Linked DNA regions of Coturnix japonica. The protein of the gene in region 1 purifies or fractionates together with the protein of each later gene. This does not show direct contact. Links are inferred from orthologs where the notes say so. Each region holds a gene or a part of one and is shown on either strand. Other genes may lie near its edges. The genes, in order: ARRDC1, NEDD4, YAP1, HECW2, NEDD4L and ZMYM2.

The links.
Region 2: the proteins of ARRDC1 (region 1) and NEDD4 purify together in Homo sapiens (affinity purification with mass spectrometry; 3 studies listed by BioGRID and IntAct, counting the BioPlex papers as one, with this or other methods). This does not show direct contact. The link is inferred for Coturnix japonica from reciprocal best matches to the Homo sapiens genes ARRDC1 and NEDD4.
Region 3: the proteins of ARRDC1 (region 1) and YAP1 purify together in Homo sapiens (affinity purification with mass spectrometry; 3 studies listed by BioGRID and IntAct, counting the BioPlex papers as one, with this or other methods). This does not show direct contact. The link is inferred for Coturnix japonica from reciprocal best matches to the Homo sapiens genes ARRDC1 and YAP1.
Region 4: the proteins of ARRDC1 (region 1) and HECW2 purify together in Homo sapiens (affinity purification with mass spectrometry; 3 studies listed by BioGRID and IntAct, counting the BioPlex papers as one, with this or other methods). This does not show direct contact. The link is inferred for Coturnix japonica from reciprocal best matches to the Homo sapiens genes ARRDC1 and HECW2.
Region 5: the proteins of ARRDC1 (region 1) and NEDD4L purify together in Homo sapiens (affinity purification with mass spectrometry; 3 studies listed by BioGRID and IntAct, counting the BioPlex papers as one, with this or other methods). This does not show direct contact. The link is inferred for Coturnix japonica from reciprocal best matches to the Homo sapiens genes ARRDC1 and NEDD4L.
Region 6: the proteins of ARRDC1 (region 1) and ZMYM2 purify together in Homo sapiens (affinity purification with mass spectrometry; 3 studies listed by BioGRID and IntAct, counting the BioPlex papers as one, with this or other methods). This does not show direct contact. The link is inferred for Coturnix japonica from reciprocal best matches to the Homo sapiens genes ARRDC1 and ZMYM2.

The regions. Positions count from the first base shown.
Region 1 is NC_029532.1:1,154,004-1,157,503, forward strand, and holds part of ARRDC1 (arrestin domain-containing protein 1), read left to right. Parts: intron 1-1,240; coding exon 1,241-1,351; intron 1,352-3,500. UniProt on the Homo sapiens protein: Functions as an adapter recruiting ubiquitin-protein ligases to their specific substrates. Through an ubiquitination-dependent mechanism plays for instance a role in the incorporation of SLC11A2 into extracellular vesicles.
Region 2 is NC_029525.1:6,718,155-6,722,454, forward strand, and holds the start of NEDD4 (E3 ubiquitin-protein ligase NEDD4), read left to right. Parts: upstream 1-1,500; 5' UTR 1,501-4,300. UniProt on the Homo sapiens protein: E3 ubiquitin-protein ligase which accepts ubiquitin from an E2 ubiquitin-conjugating enzyme in the form of a thioester and then directly transfers the ubiquitin to targeted substrates. Specifically ubiquitinates 'Lys-63' in target proteins.
Region 3 is NC_029516.1:163,478,071-163,482,341, forward strand, and holds the start of YAP1 (transcriptional coactivator YAP1), read right to left. Parts: upstream 2,801-4,271; 5' UTR 2,529-2,800; coding exon 2,211-2,528; intron 1-2,210. Other genes in the region: CFAP300 (cilia- and flagella-associated protein 300), read right to left, coding at 3,563-3,688. UniProt on the Homo sapiens protein: Transcriptional regulator with dual roles as a coactivator and corepressor. Critical downstream regulatory target in the Hippo signaling pathway, crucial for organ size control and tumor suppression by restricting proliferation and promoting apoptosis.
Region 4 is NC_029522.1:329,546-333,045, forward strand, and holds part of HECW2 (E3 ubiquitin-protein ligase HECW2), read left to right. Parts: intron 1-2,661; coding exon 2,662-2,773; 3' UTR 2,774-3,500. UniProt on the Homo sapiens protein: E3 ubiquitin-protein ligase that mediates ubiquitination of TP73. Acts to stabilize TP73 and enhance activation of transcription by TP73. Involved in the regulation of mitotic metaphase/anaphase transition.
Region 5 is NC_029547.1:657,234-660,146, forward strand, and holds the end of NEDD4L (E3 ubiquitin-protein ligase NEDD4-like), read left to right. Parts: intron 1-288; coding exon 289-361; intron 362-965; coding exon 966-1,068; 3' UTR 1,069-2,413; downstream 2,414-2,913. UniProt on the Homo sapiens protein: E3 ubiquitin-protein ligase that mediates the polyubiquitination of lysine and cysteine residues on target proteins and is thereby implicated in the regulation of various signaling pathways including autophagy, innate immunity or DNA repair.
Region 6 is NC_029516.1:160,216,143-160,219,642, reverse strand, and holds part of ZMYM2 (zinc finger MYM-type protein 2), read left to right. Parts: intron 1-152; 5' UTR 153-279; intron 280-1,578; 5' UTR 1,579-1,588; coding exon 1,589-2,435; intron 2,436-3,500. UniProt on the Homo sapiens protein: Involved in the negative regulation of transcription.

The DNA.
Region 1 (3,500 bases):
ATTCCCTGGTGGATGGGTGGGGGGGGGGGGAAGGACTTGACACTGCTCTGTGGTGCAGGGGACCCATTCCAGCTCAGCACAGCCATGCTCTTTGCTTTGTCCCCAGCATCAGAAGTACTGGTGTGCCTCATAGACACAGGCAGAGCCAGTGCGTAGTGGTGCTTGATTAACACGAGTTGGCATCTGCCGCTGTTCATCCCTTGCCCTTGAGGATGAAGCAGTGCTTGGGTGCTCCAGGTCGTGGTCGGGCTGTGACTGGGTGAGCAGGGCTGTGGGTTGGCTGTTCCTCCTTTGGGACTGGAGACTTTGAGCCTCAAGCAGCCCGTTCAGTCCGGACTCATATGGCAAAACACAGTGAAGGGGACTGGGGTGTGAGCTCTGCATTCCCCCTGCAGAGTGGGCTGGGTTTGGGTTTCTTTCCACCTTGAGTTGGGCTGGCAGGGCAGGCACTGCACGGAGCGGTGTGGGGTGTATGTGAGCAGCATCACTTGCAGCTCAGTGCTTGGGAGGAAGGAGGTGGGGAGCGTGGAGCAGGAAGGCAGCCCTGAAGTGGGGCAGATTGGCTGCCTGCCTCCAGGGGAGAGGCTTCCTGTGAGATGCTGCTTGGACGCAGCAAGTGGGTGGGTGAATTGGGAGGAGAGCCTGTCTGGTGGCTTACCAGCAGGTCCAGCACGGGAGCTCTGTGGGATCTGTTAAAGTTGTTGCAAAACCTGGTGGGAATCAAGACAGGAGACATTCAGGCTGGAGCAAAGCACTGCAGATGCCTCTTGCTGTGTAACAAGCAGGGCAGACTCGGGGACGACTTACCCAAGGCAGGGCACAAACAGCTCCAATTCTGTGTTTGCTTTGGGAGAGTCAAATGGCATCTTAAATGCTTCTGGAGCTGGCTATGTGGCTTTGCTGTCAGTCCTGTATCTCTCACAGGAGGAGGAGGTGCTCTCTTGAAGTGGTCTCTGGCTGCTGAGAAGCACCGACACTCAGCAGCCCTGATGCTGAAGTCACTGCTGGGGCCTTTACAGTGAGCCAGCATGAGATCTTCCTGGTGCTGACAGCTGCAAGTAGCACTGGGGGAGCAGAGAGAGTGTGATAGTGCTGAGAGCAAGGGGAAAATGTGCTCTGGGCTGGAGCTGTGACCTGATTCCCCCACTCCCTTTTTTCACCCTGTGTGTTCATGAGGCTCTGTGCAATCATTGTGGCTTTGCTTTCTCCCTGACTTTTGCATGTTGTTTCTCATTAACAGCCATCAAGGTGAGCTGTGTTGGATTCTGTGGGGTGTCAAACAAGATCAATGACACTGCCTGGACCGTGGAGGAGCAGTACTTCAACACCACGCTGTCTCTGGCAGACAAAGGTGAGCTCCACAAGGGTTTGGTGGTGACCTGTGGGTGTGTGGATTCTTACTGGGAGGTGGCTGACTCTGATCTGCAGCAGTGCAGTGATGTGAAATGCCCCTTCATAGGCTGCTTTGACTTGTGCACAAAGTATATGAGCTGATATTGGAGGCAGCAGGAGCTGTGCAGAGTGGCATCCCAATCGGCTGCACAAATATGGGGTGTCCTCTGGCCCTGCTCTGCTTAGAGTGGGGCTGTCAGCAGCCACGTTGCTGCTGCTGGTGGACATCTGTGAGCACAGTGGTTGTGAAAGCCCTATGGCTTAATCTTACTCTGCTTTCCACGTGCTATCTATGGGAGTATCAAAACACTTATCAAAACTGGTCAGCTGAAGCTGGTGTCAGGCTGGGAGTGGTTGAACTACACTGGAAGGGGATATGGAGGTGTTGCTCAAGCTCCAGGAGAAGCACTGAAAGGGTGGCATGAGCAGCCTACGGCAGCTCCCAGTGCACAGCTGCCAGTCGAGGTGCCTGGAGATACAGCAGTGGGGCTGTGTTATCCTGTGGGTAAAGTGACACCAGTAGCCTCAGGGGAATCTGGGCTCGAATGAATGCTGTCGTTCTGCTATTAAATAGGTCAACCTTAGCATAAATAATTTGTGCTGTGCTCTGGCTCCTATCAGAACCAAGAGGTGCCTGTATTCACCTGCTGAGGGCAGTGGCTGTAGCAGGGATTGTAACGTGGCATTAGGCCAGGCTTGCAGTGCAGTCCTCTGATGCTGCACTGATCCTTTGATCTACTAACAGGAAATGGGTGAAGCTGAAGTGGCAGCTCCTGCCAGCTCAGCGATTTCTCAGGCAGAGCTTTTAGCATGGAGGGGAAACTGACCTCACTTGGAGATGATGCTGCTTGCTCAGGTCTCAGGAAGGGAGGTGGCTGGTTGGCTGCTCAGTTTGGCTTCTAGCCTAGGGGCTGCAGGAGGAGTCAGACTGCTTGGGAGGGCAATGAGAGATGGTCCTGCTTTTAGACATGGTAGTGATCACAGCCAGGGAGCTCAGCTGTGAATGCTGGGCTGGCAGAATCCTGGAGGCTTTGGAAGGGGCTACAGGCAATTCAGTGCTGGTGAGCTGGAGACTGTGAATAATAGCAGGCTCCTGGAGAAGCTTAAACTGCACTGACAATGAACTTCTACATGTTTTTCTAGTGTTAATGATTCATGAGGAAACTGTGCTACTGTAGATGGTTCTGTGCTGGTAAGGCTGTCACAGCAGAAGCCTTGGGATAGGAGTGGGTATAGGAGGGTTCTCAGCCTCTGGGAAATGCTGATGGCTGCTCCTGCAGTTGTTTATTGCAGGGTTGCAGCTCTCAACTGGAGCAAATGTAGACTATGAAGGACAAAGCTGTCCCTTAATGTAATACCTTTGAATGCTCAAATTCCAGAAAGCCTCCAAAACTGGTATTCCCAGCTCCTAAAGTTGTCACAGAAAGCGTTAATATTTTTGCTCTTGACTTTTCTGGAACCCAAGTTGTTGTGCACTGCTGAGTTTGTGTGTCAGTGTCAGTAGTGCAGGCAGCCTGGGCCGTGGGTGCAGTGAAGGGAAGATCTGCCCTGTAGGACCACCAAGCTTGGACCTGAGGTGTGTTGTGCTGTTACTGCCCTGTCTTGCAAAGATACATTGGAGTATTGGGTAAAAAGCAGGTTGCAGCTCTGAGGGCTGATTCAGGCAGACCATGAGGGAGGACCCCAGGTGTCCCCAAGGCCATGCAGTCACCACATGCCCAGCTCTGCTGTCCTTGGGGCTGCAGCAGCCCTGCTCCTGTGATGTGGAGCAGAGAGGGAAGCTCAGTGTGATAAAATGCCCGCATGATCTCTTCCCATGTTCTGAGTGGCAAAATAAATAAGAAGAAAAACAGCCTGTGCTCTTGAAGGACATTCTGGGGGAAGAGGTTTGCAAAACTATGGAGACTTGGAACACTCTCCAAGCGTTTGAGAGCATCTCTGCTCTTCTGCACCCACACACCTTGTTGCTCGACTATGAGTCTTATGTGGCATCATCTATCATTTGTTTTACAAACAACTTATTTTTTCTTAAAGGGTGTCTATTGCATGAGAGGAGACAGACCATGAAAATATCCTGTGCGCCCACTTAGCAGCACAAGGCACTATTT
Region 2 (4,300 bases), on another chromosome or scaffold:
CAGTACATCTGTTATTTTCAAGACTGAAAATTTTACTGTAGCACAAATACAAATCTTACCTTCTTTGTTCTATTAATGCACAAAAACTTGGGCATGAATTTATCAGCCAGTTTTGGGATGGCAAGATTTTGGCTAATTGGTGCCAATCGGTGGTGTTGCATAATGAACATAGTATTATTTAGATTTTAGGAACAAAATGTAGATTCGATGTTTAATTTTGGTCTTATTTGTCCAACAAGCGCACAGTCAGAATATGCACTGTATTGTTGAGCGTTTCAGGAACTGGGAGGTCCCAGTTTTGTAAGCGACTGCTGAAGAACTCTTGAGTTCTGAATTTGGAATGTGAGAAAACTGCTTTTGTGTAGCATGCCCAAGTGATGATGAATTTCCCTCCTCTTATAAACAACCCAGATCTTGAATAATGAGGAAATTGTGACCTTATATAAAGTAACATCAGTTTAAAGTATCATCAGTTTCCAGTCAGAGCTTTTCTGCAACATAAAAAAATGCTGTACTCTTGGATATCTTTATATGTATGGTTAGTTCTAGAAAGCAATTTTTTTTTTTATTCCCATCTGATAAACTTATTAGATGGACTGCTTGGTCTTGTGCCATTGGTGTTATTTTAATTCTTCTCACTTTCCTTGTTCTCTTTCAAGCATTACTATTGCTTTCTCTTTTTTCTTATTGCTTAGAAGCTATATCTTCTCATCCTTCTCTTTTATCAGTGCTATGTAAGGAGGAAGAAGAAGGTCATTTTCTTGCATTTGTTTGCTATACCTTTTTATAATAATTTTTTGACTGATAATTGTTTTAATTTTTTCTTGCTGTGGCTTTGTCCAAGACCTCTAGTTTGGCTGATAAAGATAGACCATTGGTTTAAAATCTTCCATAGAAGTACAGTGTGTGGTTCACTAGTTTGCCATCCCTAAACTTAATCCTAAATATTTTTAGGTTATGCATCTCAATGTTAGAAAATACGTTTTGGTCCTTTTAGACCTCTAGTTAAACCAATTTGCTCTGAGCCACTGTTATTGGAAGAAAACAATTTTAATCTGGATGTCAGCATCATTTAGTTTTTGCTTTGATATACGTAAAAGCAATGATACATTTTTGAACTCTCATACCAAGTTCTGTGAGAAACAGCCATTTTAATTTTGACTTTTTATTATTCTCCCTGTGCTTATACAGAAGGAAAGAAGTATCTCATTTGTCTTAATGACACAACCAGTGGAATTCAGCAGATATTTTAACTACTCTCATCTTTCTTTTTCCTAGGTTAATCCTCAGAAACACAGACTCCTTTTTGAAGTGTTTGATGAAAACCGTTTGGTAGGTCCTTTTCTATTAATATTGCAATTTAATAAAGGCTTCAGTGAAAATAACTTGATCTGGATTCAATGTTCAAAATTAAAATAATAATAATAATAATAATAATAATAATAATAATAATAATAATAATAATAATAATAATAATAATAATAATAATAATAAACTGGAAAAAACAAAAAGAACAACCCAAAGGAAGACCTGATTTGTTTACTTTTCTGCCACTACCACACTTAGATGTTCTGAAGTAATGAGGCCTTAACTCTGAACTTCTAACGTGCTTAACTCAGAAGCATTTTTTCTTACATTGCTTCTCCAGTGCTATGACCAAGTGACACTGAAAGCTCTCTACTGAATGCTTATTTTTCTTACAAAGCAGCATTGACAGTGTAGATGTTTGTATTCATGGGGGCATTTTTTTCAATAGCATGAAGGAGCAGTGGGACAGAAATGTGTTTCTTTGTCAACAGGCAGACACTGGAGTGTTACTTTGTTATTCACTGAATGAGTTATCGTAAATAAAGTGGGGATAGCTTGTGCATTTGTGTCCTTGGTGAAATTCTAACTCCTGACCATGTTCTTGTTTCCTACATGAGGAGTCTTCCTTTTTTATTCTGCCCATATGCTCAATTGTAAATTACAGAGGCTAACATTTGTGTTGTAAGCCAGTTTAACAGACATTCTATCTCAGTGGAATATATACCTTTCCAATTAAGTTCTACTGAAGTAGAGACTTGAGTGGTCTCTAGCTTGCACTTCAGACACTTTTTTGCTCTGTTAGCCATTTTGAAGAATATCAATGCCTGAGGAATGTGTTAGCAGCAAAAACCCTTTCATTTTTTCCTAATGCTGTCTGGATTGTCAATAATCTGTTGTACCTTTTATGCTAATGGTTGAAAGAATGGAAATGCCTGCAAATCGAATTCTGATTTCTTTTGAATAATTACGTCTAAGAATGGAGAGCTTTATTTCTTGGTTGTAGCCATCACACAATAACAAAGTCATTTTATTGCTGGCTGGTGGTGGTTCTTGTCCCAGATATTTCAAATATTTAAAGCAGAAACTTTAAATGGAATCACCAGAACTTGTGGTTGACGTGTCAGGATGCTCAGAAGTTAGTCTCAGAATGCTGTTAAGGGCTGCAGCGCAGGCTTGAAGTACAGTCCATAGTCTTTGGAACCGCACTGCCACCAGGTGGAAGTCAGGAGGCATGACTAGAAAATCTGAGGCCCAAATTAAGGGGAAAAAAGCAGAGTTTGGTTTCCACCAAGGGAATTCCTTGTTGTTCATTCTCTAAGAGAAAGTAGATGAGTTGTTTGACCTCTTTGCTTGTGGGAAAGGAATCAACAAGACATCTTACTGGCATCGGTGTGAAACTATGCTTTGTTTCCTTTATGTGACTGAGTTTGGAGACCAAAGCAGCATGACCTAATCACTCACTATGTAGTTCTGTGATAACATGTTTTTACATCTTTCCTATCTCCTCATTCAGTCAGTGGAAAACGCTGTCTTCCTATTTCTACATAGTTTGCTTTCTGTTAAATGAACACTAAATTTCCATCCCATGTGTCTTGAACTACTTCAGTTGGTCAAATCATTACTTTTGCTGTGGTTCTTGGGAGACTGACAGTCTTGTTCACTTCTGTTGTCTTCTCATGTCAAAAAATCATGGATGCCTCATGATTTTTCACAAGGATATGCACGCAGCTGTGCTCAAAAGGTGTTTCATCTTCGGTGATTATAGTGGGCTTGTATGGCAATCAGTCATTCTTTGTTCTGCCTGCTGGCCAACTGTTTAAAATGTAGATGTGAGTAAGTTGATAACACTGACATTCTCTTACAGTTGTGGGACTGTCTTCATCTTTGTAGAGTTCTGTCCCACGTGTTTTAATTCCCATTAAATTCTGAAGAGAAATTGAAAGCTTGAAATTTCTTCTTGTTTTTAAGTAATGTTGCTTTCCTGAAAACTTGGTTCAAAAATCCTCTTCAAAGTTTGGCATAAATTGGAAGTCCTGCAGGACTGGCTTTATCACCAATACGTCTTAATGACAAGAGTATATGCAGTAAAATTGTTGCAGGTTTTTGTTGCATATGAAACTGACATGTTAGGAACTGTGCTACTGATAGGTGTATTGTTGGGACAGATAGGTTCTTGAAGAACTGCATTGTTTCCTCTTCATTCGCATGGTTAAGGGTGTGTGCTTTTTAAAATATACTGCTTGTAGTTCAACTGTAACTCTTTTAAAACCATGACCAAAAAAGCTTTTATGGTATTTTACTTTTCTTCCTGCTCCAACACGTAACATTAGAAGAAATCCAGCTGGTGAAGCATAATGGAATAGACGAACTATTGTATTTGTTGGCTTTTATGAATAAGGTAGTATTCATTTACTGCTGCATTCTAATCATGGAATTCAGGTAATGGAGTTTAAGTAAGCCCTGGAGTATAATTAGAAAACAAATTTGTTGCTTGCAAATAGAGTTCTGTGAATTGGATTCTTGGCTCTTATTTGGGAAGGAGGTTTAAATGTTAATTTTATTACCTTCTAGCTTAAAATACAGCAAAGGTTAAATAAATATGGAGCAGAAAAAAATCTAGTAGTGTGACCTATAAAAGTATAAATGGCCTAGTGTTCTTCTCTGTTTGCGCTTTTTCAGCAGCACTAAGTAATTTCATGCTAGTCTGGTACCTTTTTGTACTGTATGTATGTATTTATACTGTACATATGGCTTCTGTATTCATAAGTACATTCGTATCAAATATGTTTCAAAAAAAAGAAAAGAAAAATAAAACCCACACAAAAAAGAAAAAGAAATATTGAAAGGCAAGATTGCCTTTTTTCAGAAGTCCCACTAGATGCCAGCAAAGGACCTTTCCAGATGATGAGACAGCGAAATGTTTGTAAGATCTCTCAATCCTGTTATTCTTTCAAGAGATGACAGTGTATTAGTTGCTTTCTATGCTCTTCAT
Region 3 (4,271 bases), on another chromosome or scaffold:
ATGAGCTCCAAGAGAGGGAGAACTCCTGGACTCAACCATCAGAGCTACAAAAGGCTGAGCACAGAGTTTCCCAACCTGCAGCCCAACTGCTCTTTAAGGGCACTCACAAAGAGCCTGCCAGCGCTTTATCTAAAGAAAGCTTCCGCAAACTGTTTGACCAGTCAATCAGAAGTGACTCAGAGACCATTCACAGAGCTGCCAGACTGAAGTACGAGAGCTTCTTTGGCAGTAGGAAATAGACGTCCAAAGCCAAAAAGACAAAGCAGAGCTGAAAATTGGGTTAAAAACCTTTTGGTAAATGGTAAACGTACCAAAAAAATTAATCATCTCATAGATACCCCAGAACGACATGGCCACGTGCACTGAGATGCACGTATCAGTCCAGCCACGCCTCTCCATGCAGGTATTGCACCATACAAGGCCCCACTTATATGCTCCTATGGGGACATTTTGCTACAACTATATGTGAACATGTCATTTATTAAACTGGAACCGAGGAGGCTTACTTTTACATTTAAGCAGTGTACGAGGAGCAACTGAATGGACTCTGAGGAGCTTTGATTTTTGAAACAGAGAAATACAGACGTCCTTTCCTGACTGACATTTTATGTCACAAATGAACAAATGGGAACTACGAAAATCACAGAATCACAGAATGACCTGGGTTGGAAGGGACCTCAAGCATCATGTAGTTCCAACCCCCCTGCCTAGCAGGGCCACCAAACATACACATTTACTAGATCAGGTTGCCCAGGGCCCCGTCCAACCTGGCCTTGAACACCTCCAAGGACGGGGCATCCACAACCTCGATGGGCAGCCTGTTCCAGGGCCTAACCACTCTCCTAGTGAACAACTTCCCCCTAACATCCAACCTAAATCTTCCCTCTTTCAACTTAAAACCATTTCCCCGTGTCCTGCTATTGTCGGCACTGTAAAAAAAACGATAGTGAACAACAGAGCAATGGTTCTCTGCCTCCAGCTGAACATCAAGGCTGCACTGTAGGAGCTCCTGGGTGGGATGAGAACCCAAGGAAGGAGCACACACAGAGGATGTGGAGCAACAGGTCACTGCGAGGGAACACCAAAAGTGCAACAGTTGCATGAAAATTAAATGCATGCTGAACTTGTTTAACTGCACATAGATACTGTGTTTGCCAAGACACAGCAACAAGAAGCAGCTGAGCATGTGCAGCCCACACTTCTGTGTAACCAAACTGAGATACAACTCACACCAAGGGGAGCGATCCGAAGGAACCCCATTAATTGGGTTGGATTCAAAGTGCAATTAACAAGTCTGCAGCTCAGAAGCGAGGCAAAAAACCATAGGAGCAGCTGAGCCCCACCCCTGCTATTCTCTCTCCAGTCTCACGCCGTAAAGGCTGGGCAGCCTTTCGAGTACGTGGGCAATGAATTAACTCGTGCCAGGGTTCCGCACGGCGCAGAGCCCTGGGAGCCGAGGGCCTTCACGAAGCGGCCGCTGCGACACGGAGCGAGTTTCGCTCCGGCTGCACAGATTGAGCGGAGGCGGCCCATAACAAAACCGACTGTGCAGCTCAACGTGAAGCTCGTTAGTTCGTAGTGACACCTGAGCGACGCGGCCCCTTCCCGTCGGGGAACGGCGGCGGAGCCCGCTGCCCTCAGCCCGGGACACGAGGGAGCTCCGCGGACGGAGCCGACCCGGCGCATTGCGGACATGAAATGGTGGAAGAGCCACATCCATATTGCGGGGGGGAAAAAAAAAGACAGAAAAAGTTTGGCACCGCCCGCCGCCGTTCCCCCAGCGGCGGACCGTCCCGCAGCGCCGATCGGAACCCTCAGTCCCGGCGCTCCCCGCACCGCTCCGAGGCCTCTCCTCGCCTTTCCTCCCGGCCGGGCCACGGAGCGGATGTGGAGCCCGAGGGCCGCCCGGAGCCCGGGCCAGGACGGCGGCCCCTCGGAGTGGCGGGAGGAGCGGGGAGAGGAGGAGGAGGAGGAGGAGGAGGCGGAGGAAGGCAGCGCGCTCCCGGCCCCGCGCCCCCCGCCCGCACCGAGGGCGGATTCCCGCCCCGGCCCCTTCCCCCCCAACCCCCACCCCCAGCGCACACCTCCCCCGGGAGGAGCCCGGCGGCGGCGCGGAGGGAGGGAAGGAGGGAGGGAGCGAGGGAGGGAAGGAGGGAAGGAGGGAGATCGGAGATCGCGGCTCAGCGCCGGGCCGGGCCGCCCCCCCTCACCTGGCGGGAGTGAGCCTTGGGCTCGGGCGGCTTGAAGAAGGAGTCGGGCAGCTTGCGGAGCCGCATGGGCAGCGTGTGCGGCACGTTGGCGCCCTTGGGGTTCATCACGGCGTTGAAAAGAGCCTCCAGGTCGGTCTCGGAGTCGCCCCGCACATGGACGATCTGGTGCCCCGCCGGAGGGGGCCCCGCGCCCGGCTGCTGCGCGGCGCCTCCCGGAGCTCCCGACACGTTGCCCGGGGGCTGCGGGGCCGCCTGCTGCGGGGCCGGGGGCTGCGCCGCCTGCGGCGGCTGTTGCGGCTGAGGCTGCCCGGGATCCATGTCTGGCTGCGGGACCCCCCCGGCGCTTCCTCGCGGGGCTGGCGGCGGCTCAGAGCGCTCAGGGCCGGCCCCGCATGCCCCGCGCCGCGGCTCGTCCCCTCGGTTCCCCCGGCGCTTCCTACCCCTCGGCGGGGACGGCCCGAAACGGTTCCGGCCGCGCGGCGCTGCCCCGAGCCCGGCCCAGCCCGGCCGGCGCCTCCGTCCCGGCGGCGGAAACTAACTCGCACAACACTCCAAACAAAAGTTCGCAGTTACGCCCGCCCGAATCACTCTGCGGCCGGCTCCGCCCCTCCTGAGCCCGCCCGCACCGTATCCGACCGACACGGCCCAGCTCCTCGCGGCTCCTGCTCGCGCCCGCCCGCACCGCCTCCCGCCCACCGGGCGCCCCGAAGCGCAGGGAGCGGCCCGGCCCCCACAGCGGCCCCTCGGTCTCCTCACGGCTCGGCCCGTCCCGCCGGCCCAGCGCTCCGCTCCGCGCTCCGTCCCGCCCGTGTCCCTTTTGTGCCGCCCGCCCGGCCGCGGAGCCGCGCCGCCAACCACAACTTTTATTTTCCCCAACTTCTCTTCCCAACTTCAGGCTCCCGCCGAGGGGGTGGGGAAGAGCTGGGAAGAGCTGCGGCGCTCCCCTCCCCTCCCCCGCCGCCCCGGAAGGGGGCAGCCCCCCTCGGGGAGACGTGGGGGGGGAAGGCCGGGAGGGGGCACGACCCGCCCGCGGGACCGAGGCGGCGGGGAGCCGGGCCTCGGCCTCACCTGGCGGTGGGACAGCGGCCGAGCAGCGGGAAGGGACGAGCACAGACACATCTGGAGGAGTTACTTTTATTAAATGGGCCGAAACTCGTGAAAACAGCATCAGGAGGGTCAAAACTGGGGAAAAAAAAGAAGAATCACAATAGTCCAACCCCGTGAGAATCAGAATAGTCCAACCCCGTGAGAACAGCACCAAAGACGGGGTGTGTGACGGGCGTTACACACATCTTTCCGTACCCACCGTCCCACCGCCCCGCACCGCGCAGCCCCCGCCCGGCCCGCCGAGCTCAGGGCGCGCCGCCCCCGAAGCGGTGGTACAACGTGTGCACGTGGCGCCGGGCCGGGTCCAGCAGCAGATACGAGAAGGTCTGAGCGTGGGCTGAGCGCGATGGGTAACACAGGCCGCTGCCGTCCTGACGGGAAGGAAAAAGAGGCAGCGTTAGTGCGGAGTGTGTCCCGAGCGGACAGTGCGTAGGATTACACGATTGGAGCCTGAAATCCAGCTGATTAAATACTCAAAGATCCCATCACGTCCCATTAAAACACAAATAAAATAGGTACGGGCTGCATATTAACACATAAAGTCCTTCTAACAACGCTTCTTTTTCACTCGGCGTTTAAGGAAAACCCCTCCGGAGCGCTCCGAGCAGCGCTGAGCTGTTACCGAAGGCAGTTTGTGCCACTGCTCACAAATATGCGAGGAGAATGGACGCCCCGCCCCAACCCGCTCCTGGCAGGCCGCCCCCAGCTGCCGGCAGCGCGGTGGGCTCAGCTCAGCTCAGCACCCGCTGCTGCCCGGCCTGCCCCAGCAGAACGCCCGGCACAGCACAGGAGCCTGAGGGGATTGTTTGGAGGCTGCTTTTCTTTCTGTCGGTTGGGTTTCGATGTATTCAATCCGGAATTCGAGCATCCAAAAGATCAGGAGATCCGTAGCTCGCACATCCTGTCTCTGAATTCCCAGTGTGGTTCCCTCCCGCTCCCCAACACCTTGTTTGG
Region 4 (3,500 bases), on another chromosome or scaffold:
TCAGAGACTTAGCGTGCAAACACCAAGTAGTACTGGCTAGGAGGTAAGACATTGTTAAGAGTGACCCTGAATAGCAAACTTTGAAGAGGTTTCCAAAAAAGCCCTGTCTGTAAACACTACTGGATCTGTGAGGTGTATCAGGTTCGCAGAATCTCAGGGTTTGCAAGAGTTCATTGAGCCCAACCCCCTTCTAAACCAGGTACCCTACAGTTGGTTGCATGTGTAGGCATCCAGCCAGATCTTGAATATCTTCATAGAGGGAGACTACACAACCTCCCTGGGCAGCCTGTTCCAGTGCTCCATCACCCTTACTGTAGAGCTCTTCCACATGTTAATATGGAACTTACTGTATTTTAGGCCATTACTCCTTGTCCTATCACTGCGTATTACCAGGAAGTGCCTGGCCTCATCCGTTTGCCTCCCACCTCCGTTTAGATATTTATGAACATTTATCAGATCCTTTCTCAGTCTTCTTTTCCCCAGGCTGAACACACACAGGTTACTCAGCCTTTCCTCACAGGGGAGGTGCTCCAGGCCCTCTGTCATCTTCATCCCTAAGTTACACACACAGGCTGGGCTTGAGAGCAGCCTTGAGGAGAAGGATTTGGGAGTGTCAGTTGATGAAAGATTCTGCATAAGCCGGCAATGTGCTTGTAACCCAGAAAGCCAGCTGTATGCTGGGTTGCATCAAGACAAGCATGACCCTGTACTGTGAGGGCACTGGCACAGGTTGCCTAGTGAGGTTGTGAGTGCCCCCACCCTGGAGGCACTCAAGGCCAGGCTGGATGGGGCTGTGAGCAACCTGGTCTAGAGGGAGTTGTTCCTGCCTGTAGCAGGAGGGTTGGAACCAGATGATCTTAAAGGTCCTTTCCAACCCAAACCATTCTATGATTTTGTGTTTTTGCTACTGTAATACTGTTCAAATTACAATGAAGTGAAGCTTAACTGGAAATCTGGACTTCAGGAACCAAGTTATTTTTCATGTTGTCCTCAAATGTGAGTCCAGGAACATGGAAGTCTTGTTTCCACACGGTTTGAGATGATGGAGTGGGAAAATGTTGTCCAGGGGAACAAAGAAAAACAACAAACAACCTTTCTTCCTGAAGCCTTAAGAAGTTTCTCGTAAGGGTGAGAAAGAGATTCCCACAATAGACCAAGATCTTAAGTTTTTGTCTTTTTTAATGACTTGGTTTTCCAAAGTAGGTGATGATGTTCTCAAAATTGCCCTCAAAATTAAGATAAAACTCAATTCTCTTAATAAACGTAAATGATATGCCAAATTGCTATTAAGCCTTTGCTAATTATATGCTATGTCTTTCACAACTTGTGGTTTTACAGCCCACACAGCATGATCCATACTTCTAATGAGTGGTTTCCAGCCCAATGCAGCAGAAGCATGCGGTTAAGCTGCAAATTGCATGAGACTCTGCCATAGTTTACTGTGATTGCTAAGCCATTCCAGACACCTTGCTCCAATTGTCCATTTGCTGCCAGGTCTAAATCAGCCTCTTTCTTCTAAGTGGAAACTTCTATAGAAAAAGAAAAATACACTGTTACTTTGGTTTTGGAAAGGCAAAACAGAAAAGCAAAGAAAGCTTTCTTCCAAGAGCCTTAGTGAGGTGGCAGAGTGAAGAAGTTTTTACTGAGCTGCTGGAGCTCATGCTGGGGAAATGTAGGCTTTGGTAATAAAGCTTCAAAGTGGAGAAGATACCTCTTCCAGCTTGTCTTCCCAACATTTTTTCTCAAGAACTCATCAGGTTAATAGTTCTATCTATTTCACTAGATCTGTTTCACTGTTGTATTTTAGTAAGTATTATTCTTGGCGTGCCCTGGGGGTCAGGCCACACTACCCATTATTCCACTAAGAGAAGAAAGATGCATTACTTCCCTTTTTATTCCTTGGAAGGGGTCTCAAGATTTAGTTCAAAGGTGGACTTTGGAATCTGAGCAAGAAACCAACCATGTGATTTTTCTCTTAAGAAGGCACAGTGGTGTTTTATAGCTACTTGCATAGTTCTGTGTAATTACAAACAGTAAATCTAAAGGTCATTGACTTGCTGGGTTGAATACACTGATAGTGCTCGTGCTTATTTACAACAACTTCTCAGAAACACGATCAATGCTGAGGAATCATGCAAGGAAAAGCATTCGATTTGTCTGTCCTTAATTACCACGCGATTGTTTCCTTGAAATACTTAGCATATCATTTAATGTTTCATCAAATCTAGTACCTTGTGCATATTCATCATCCTGCGATGGATTACAAATACCGTATTCAGGTATCATCCATATAAAAAAAAAACAAACAACACAACTTCTAAGATAGATTGAAAACTAATGTTTCATAGTAGACTACTTGAATTGTATTACGTTACAGCATTCTTGTCCTGTGCACGTTTAACGGGTAAAATTTATCACATGTCTTTTGAGCTGTAAGTATGTTTCTGAATGCCTTAATGAATGCATCTTACTGGCTTGTTATAATCAGAAAAATGTACATTAAACCTCACTACTTGTTTGGTTGGAAAACATCATTTGAGAGAGCAAGATCTTCTGAAAGAACACTGTTTGGCCATTTATATGCGAGTGCATATCAGTCTACCTAATTTCTTTTGACCTTTTAGAATAATATACTTCTTTACCTCCTCTTTGTTCCCTCAGGGCTCACACTTGTTTCAATCGTCTGGACCTTCCCCCATATCCATCGTTCTCTATGCTGTATGAAAAACTGTTGACAGCAGTAGAAGAGACGAGTACTTTTGGACTTGAGTGATACACAAACCACAGTGCCCTGCTCTATGAACTTTTGTGGATCTGACTTCTCAAAGAACGAATGAACATTTGTACCGGATTTCAGATTGCCATTCCGATAATGAGGTTCCGTGAAAGAGCTTATGAAGCAATTAAAAAGCATTGTGATAGTGGCAGAATTCTCTACAGTGAATCTGGAGCGTGGCTGAAGTGTAGGGAAAACCAAGTCCTGCAATCCCTGCTTTTTCAGGATGATCAGACTTCCTATGTTTTGTTGTGAGGAAACAAGAAATGTGCGATCCCATGTTGAGGTCAGCCTGGCTACTGCAAAACTGACATGAGTCTGAAAACTGGATTTCACCAAAGTCGATGAATAGAAAATTCAAGTCAAAATGTGAAATCATTCAGGCCCCACCTACACAGTAAATCAGTGAAAAATCATACAATATACTTTTTGTTCTTTTTTTTTTGTTTTTTTTTTTCTTTTGTATATTCATGAAGGTACATTACTTAATGCCATGTGTTATAACAGCATATCCAGCACTTGATAAACCTAAGACTACGAGTGCCTGCTTGGGGTGCACCATAGAGTTCAAGTTCCTGGGGCAGAAGTGAATTGGAAGGAAAGTCAGCAAAGGATGCAACAACAATGGCTTGCATTAAGGAGGTTTGTGAAAATATGTTTGCCAGTGGTGTGTATGACAAAAGATGAGCTGTTATAATGAACTGAGAAACTTAATTGGACTGAT
Region 5 (2,913 bases), on another chromosome or scaffold:
AGGATCACAAAGCTCCAACCCTACTGCTGCATGCAGAGCTGCCAGCCTCCCCATTTAATACCAGCCCAGGCTGCCCAGGGCCCCATCCAACCTGGCCTTGAGCACATCCACATCCTCATTTGCTTTAATGTAATTTTGACCTCAGGGTGTTTGTACAAAGTACTTTGCACCAGTTGAAAATGGAAGTTACAACTAGGGTAAACATGCAGTTTTTAATACAGCAATTGAAGTGATTTCTGTAGGATCCATTAACTCAGGTTTTTCGTGGATTTTTTTTTTCCCAACTAGGTTCAAATGGTCCTCAGCTGTTTACAATAGAGCAATGGGGAACTCCTGATAAACTGCCCAGAGCTCACACATGGTAAGTCTGGGGTATGTGTGTGTGTGTGTGTGTGTGTGTTCAGCGCATCTGTGCATGAGTTTGTTTGAGTGCAGGTGGATCTGGTGTGTGTGTCACAGTGCGTGTGGGTCCTAAAAAGAATAGAAAATGTTATTTAATAGATAGAAAATCAGTGCAGGGACTGGGCAGGCAGACACACACTGAAACATGAGAAAGGTGATTTGGTTGGTGCTGGCTGATGGACGTGCATGCTGGCTGTGTGTGTACCCAGAGCTCATTCATCCTCATGCAGGTCTTCTGTTTTCCACCTTCTGTGTTACAGTTCTTTTCCTCTATAGGGGTGGTTATAAATGTAAACCTTCCTATTTTCAGAAGACAGCCTGCAGTTCCTGTAGACTCTTCTTGGCAGCAGCCAGGTTGGCCTCAGCTGGTCGCTGTGCCCATAGGGAGCAGCTGGCACTGGTTAGGTTTGCACAGTGCAACATCCAGACTGCCCCAGTCTTTCCAATTGGATAACACACTCCTGTCTCACACCCAAGTTATTCAGCCTTTTCTATTTCTTTGAAGAAAAATGCATTTGAAATGCGTCGAGTAATTCCATTTTCCTTTCCGTTCTCAATTTCAGCTTTAATCGCTTAGACTTACCTCTTTACGAATCCTTCGACGACCTGCGAGAGAAGCTCCTTATGGCGGTTGAAAATGCACAAGGGTTTGAAGGAGTGGATTAGGGCACTTCTTCCCACCTTTCGGCGCGTTCTGCTGCGCTTCCACTCCTCCACGAAGGACTCTGACTGTGGCAGAACCGTCTCACGGCGTTGGTTCCTGGAGCGACCTCTTGGACAACGCGGTGGCCTAAAATGCAGGATCTTGAACTCTGGCTTGTGGATGGCTTTTTTGACATTACCACGGCCAGTCACTATGGGGTTATATGTACTCTGACTACATTTCAGCAGGACTTACTGTATTTATGTCGTGCCTCTGTAGGCTGAGCCCTTAATAAAAATTTTACATAATTTCTAATGACAATGAATGGAATTAATCATTTTACAGGGATAGTATTACAACTCATGTTTACTTTTTAATTGATTTAGATGTTTTCAGATTTTATTTCATTACAATTAAATGTCATGTATTTGGGGAAAGCAAAAGAAAAACGAGCATTTTTCTTAATTTCGTACCAGATTTTATGCCAGTGTCATTTTTTTTCAAGCTCATTTTGAGCCTTGTGTTCCCAAACCATTATGAGAGTAGAAAACAGCTATGTTGGAATTCTTCTCTATATTGGCTGTATCAAGAGCACATAAATATTTTTCTGTATCCAGATGAGATATGGATTCTATGTTGCGTTTTTGTATAAATAATAGTTACGAGTCTGGGGATAGTCATAACATAGCATGCCAAATCTCATGTTCAATAAAGAAATTGCCTCATTATTCCTTGGTGATATTTACATGTACTGAAGAACATTTTGGGGGTAGGGTTGGCATTAATCATTTAGGAAAATATGCTTAACCCTGTCCTTATCTTTGTATAGTGGTTCTTTTATTATCCTTTCCTCTTTGCTGTGTGCAGTGGAGGCATTTTGAAGGAAACCTGGCACTGTGTGATTTGGCGCTATGGAAAAACAGATCTGTTTTGTCTCCTATTTGTGTGCATTTGCTAATGATATCTAAACACAATATTATTTTTTTTTGTTTCTAACTGCACCAACTCTAAAGGCACTTTATGTAACACATTGAAGTCATATCTGTGTTTTTTTTATCATAAACATTAATGTGATTATGTTCCTTCTCACTGCACATGTCTTTCTGGTGCAATATCTTATCAATTGTGAGTTTGGCTGCTGCTGATGTATAAAAGAGAAAACAAACAGCTGTAGAGCTGAGCCTGCAGACATGTTCCTCAGCAACTGTTTTTGTGATTTATTTTTTACTTAATCACAAAGATTTATTTAATATACACTGCTATCTATCTAATCAGTTTTGTTACCTATGACATGTTGCATGCTTAAACTATAATGTCTTGAGTTGCATCTCTTGTGTGATGGATTAAAAGTGAAAGATTTGTATTCGATCCACTGAACTTAAATGGTTACAGCACCACCGCAGGAGGTGTGAGGGTTTGGCTGCATAGCAGGCAGGGTTGGTTTTGCCCTTTGTGCAGGACTTTTCCCCGGGAGCCCACTTTGATGCTTTACAGAGCAAGTTGGTACAGCATGGAAGCAGAAGGTCACCTCTCTGCCCAGCAACCTCTGGCCTGCTGCTACACCACGGACCTTAGCAGGGCGATATCTTAGCTCAGAAGGCCGCTGGAAAGACGGCTTGATGCTAATAATGCTCAGCAAATGCTGTGTGCATGTCAGCAAAAGGGTTGAGGAGCTAACGGGTGCATGAAGGTGTTTCAGCATTTGAACACCAGACTTACCAATTCTTTTGACGTTCCGTTCTAACCTTTATGAGCATATACCCTTGAACAAGAGAAATAAGTACATCTGAGTAGGTGAACAAACACTACTGGTGATTTAGTGGGGGGAAAGACAGAGGATGGGGGTAAATCCACAACCTCCTTGGGTA
Region 6 (3,500 bases), on another chromosome or scaffold:
TGGGAGTAAACAGCACTTTGGCTGCATTACTAATGACAATGATGGTATAGACAAACATTTTCCCTATTACTGTAGGACAACTGAAGACATTTGAGCTGTTTTTAGGTATACTCCGTTTCAGGTATTTACTGTTTGTTTTTACACTGTTTCAGAACAGAACACGGCTTTTGCAGAAGGCAGCAAGTTGGTTCAAGAAGAGCAGGCCACACACAGGAAGAAAAATAAAAGGTCTTGGAGCAACTTACTAAGGTAAACAGATTGCAGTGGATTTCTGGATGGGTAAGTATTTATGAGAGGGATATTTCAACTTCCTTTAATAAAGAATTTATAAGAATGCACAGAAAGCTACTTGTAGCTTTTGATAAATGCTCAGTGATGTCACACGTCAGTGTGTACTCAGACATACCTTAATTTTAATGTTAACTGTGTATTTCCTGTTGTATGTATCAAGGTCAGCTTAATTCACTATTTTTTTAGTACAGGTATTCTTTACAGAAATTTTAATTCTCTTAACAGCAATCATATGCTCGTTTGAAATTGCAGAAGGTAAGAAGAGGTACAGAAGTTACATATTCTATTTGCTGCTTATCAGTGTTTAATTCACAATGATACAGTTACAAACAGGAGATTTGACCAAACTGAACTAAATGCAAACTGAAACCCACAAGCAAAGTAGCTGTTGTGAGGGAGCCTGAAGAAGCATTGCTTGCTGTTAGAGAGAAAAGAGATCAAAGCTGTTGAGAGCTGCAGGAACTTCATGTTGGGGAACATGAAGTAGTAAGTCAGGACCTCAGATGAGCCACATCTGATAATGGCAAGAAATGCAAAGTTGATGTGCACCTGTAATAATGTGTGTATTCTCAGTGCATGTGGCGATTCCATATCTCTTTTGCTTCTCTATCTCAGTTATATTGGGACCACATAAGGAGATTTGCCTTTGTGGGGGTGGGGGAACGTCAGCTAGACGAAAATGATGTGCATTGATACAGCTTCAGTCTATTTTTTTTTTTTAAATAAATCTGTTGATGTTGAAAGTTGGTAATGTTTCTAATAGCAATGGAATTTAATACGAATTCAGTTTTTTTATTATGGTGGTCTAAATCTTGACCTTGCTTTGCAGTCTAGCGAAAGAAGTCTTACGGGCTCATTGTATCTGTGGGTGGAGGGAGTCCCTCAGGAGTGGGATTGAGAAATGAAAATCTTGTAGTGAATACCAACAAAAATTCAGTTTCTGATGTGTTTTTGCTAAACACTGTTTTAGTGGGAAATGTTGTTATTCGCCCTTTCACTTCCTAGTAGAAGTTTAGAAACGAAGTGAATGTTAAGATATTCAAATAAGAAAACCATAGAGAAAATGTGTGGGTTTTCTTTGTGTATTAGCCAAGACAAGAAGAAAACCAAATAAAAACTAAGACTATAAATTCTGTAGTTGGGTGTTGGACCAGATGATCTTGAGAGGTCCCTTTCAACCAACTCTCTGGGAATCTGTGTAGTTATTTTTATGAGCTGTTACTGAAAAGTTATATCATACTCTGACATTTGGTTGTTGTTGTTGTTGCTTTGTTTTTCTCCAAACAGCAGGTCTGGAATGGACACAAGTTCTCTGGGAGGCTTAGAACTATCTGAACATACTCCTGACCTAGCAAATACCACCATGGCAGCAGGTCTTGCAAATGTAGGAAATACATTTGCTAGTCCACCAAGCTCCATAGTTTCTAGACCGGGTAAATTCCAGAACTCTACAGTAGATGATGATGATGATGTAGTTTTTATTGAACCTGTACAAACGCCACAAAATTCTACATCACTGATAGCAGAACAAAGAAACGCTGCGTTTGCATTGTCAAAAAATGACGAACTTCAAGGTGATGATTGCAAAATGCTTCCTCCTCCGAAAGACTTGAATTCTCAAAAGGGGAGTATAAGCGAAACTATTATTATTGATGATGAAGAAGATATTGAAACAAATCAAGGACAAGAGAAGAATGCTTCCAGTTTTAATGAGCGAAGACTTCCTGAGTGTAAAAACAGAGCCAACGATATGGATTTCTCAGCTTCCAGTTTTTCAAGAAGTAAGGTAAATTCAGGAATTGGTAGTAGTGGTATATCCACAGAACCAGACTCTGACATTCAGATTGCTAATGTAACTACATTAGAAACAGGTACTATGAGCTCTGTGAGTGATGGTCATGTAGAAAATGCTGAAGGGCGTGACATGAACTTAATGATTACTCATGTAACATCATTGCAGAATGCCAACTTGGGAGATGTATCTAACGGACTGCAGTCAAGTAATTTTGGTGTTAATATGCAAACATACACCCCATCTTTAACTTCACAGACCAAGACTGGTGTAGGACCTTTCAATCCTGGTAGAATGAATGTGGCTGGAGATGTATTTCAAAATGGAGAATCTGTGACTCATCATAATCCTGGTAAGTTAGAATTCTGACCATTACCTTAAAGTAGTTTGATAATTTTTTTGGGGTCAGTTGAACTGCAGTAGTTTATAAGTTTAATTCTTATAAAAGATCTTGATTCTCTTGATCCTTATCACAACTTTATCTACAACTCTAGAAAAAAAATTCTTCAATGACTTGATGTCTTGTGTAGGTAAAGTATCCCAGGTCACAGAATCACAGATTGTGCAGTAATGCTTCAGGTGTTTTCAGATATAAATATTTCTGTCTAAAGAGCGAAGTTTCATTTATGGCTTGAGTGTACTTCTTTATTCACTCAAAGAATGGTGAATCACAGAATCAAAGCTGGAAAAGACCTCTTAATTCATACAGTCTGAATGAATAAAAACTGAATTGGATGATTTGATTGTTAGTCAGAAGTAGTTAGTATGCAATGTATTGTGACATTTGATCAATTCTCAGTGTTTACGGTGCTTAACAAAGTGGGTTTAACTTGTAGGCTCAACTTCCTGCACTCAGTTACACGCACTATAATTGCTATCTTGTTACCTGTGACTACATGAAATTGTATTTTACAGTATTATGTTTAAATTCAAGGAATCATAGAATGACTTGGGTTGGAAGGGACCTCAAGGATCATCAAGTTCCAGCCTCCTTGCCACAGGAAGGGCTACTAGATCAAGTACTACATCAGATTGCGCAGGGCCCCTTCCAGTCTGGTCTTGAACACATTCTGGGACAGGGTGTTCACAACCCCTCTGAGCTACCTATTCCAGCACCTCCCCACTCCCTCAGTAAAGAGTTTCCCTGACACCTAATCTAAACCTCCCTCCCTTTAAAACCATTCCCCATTGTCTTATCCCTATCTACCTATGTAAAAAGCCTATTTCCCTCATATTTATAAACTCCCTTTAAATATTGGAAGGCCACAATGAAATCTCCCTGCAGCCTTCACTTTTCCAGGCTGAACAAGGGCAGTTCCTTCAGCCTGTTATCTTAGAGGTGCTCTTGGTCTTGAATGATCCTCATGGCCCTCCTCTGGACCCTCTCCAACAGCTCCATACCCTTCCTGTGTTTGGG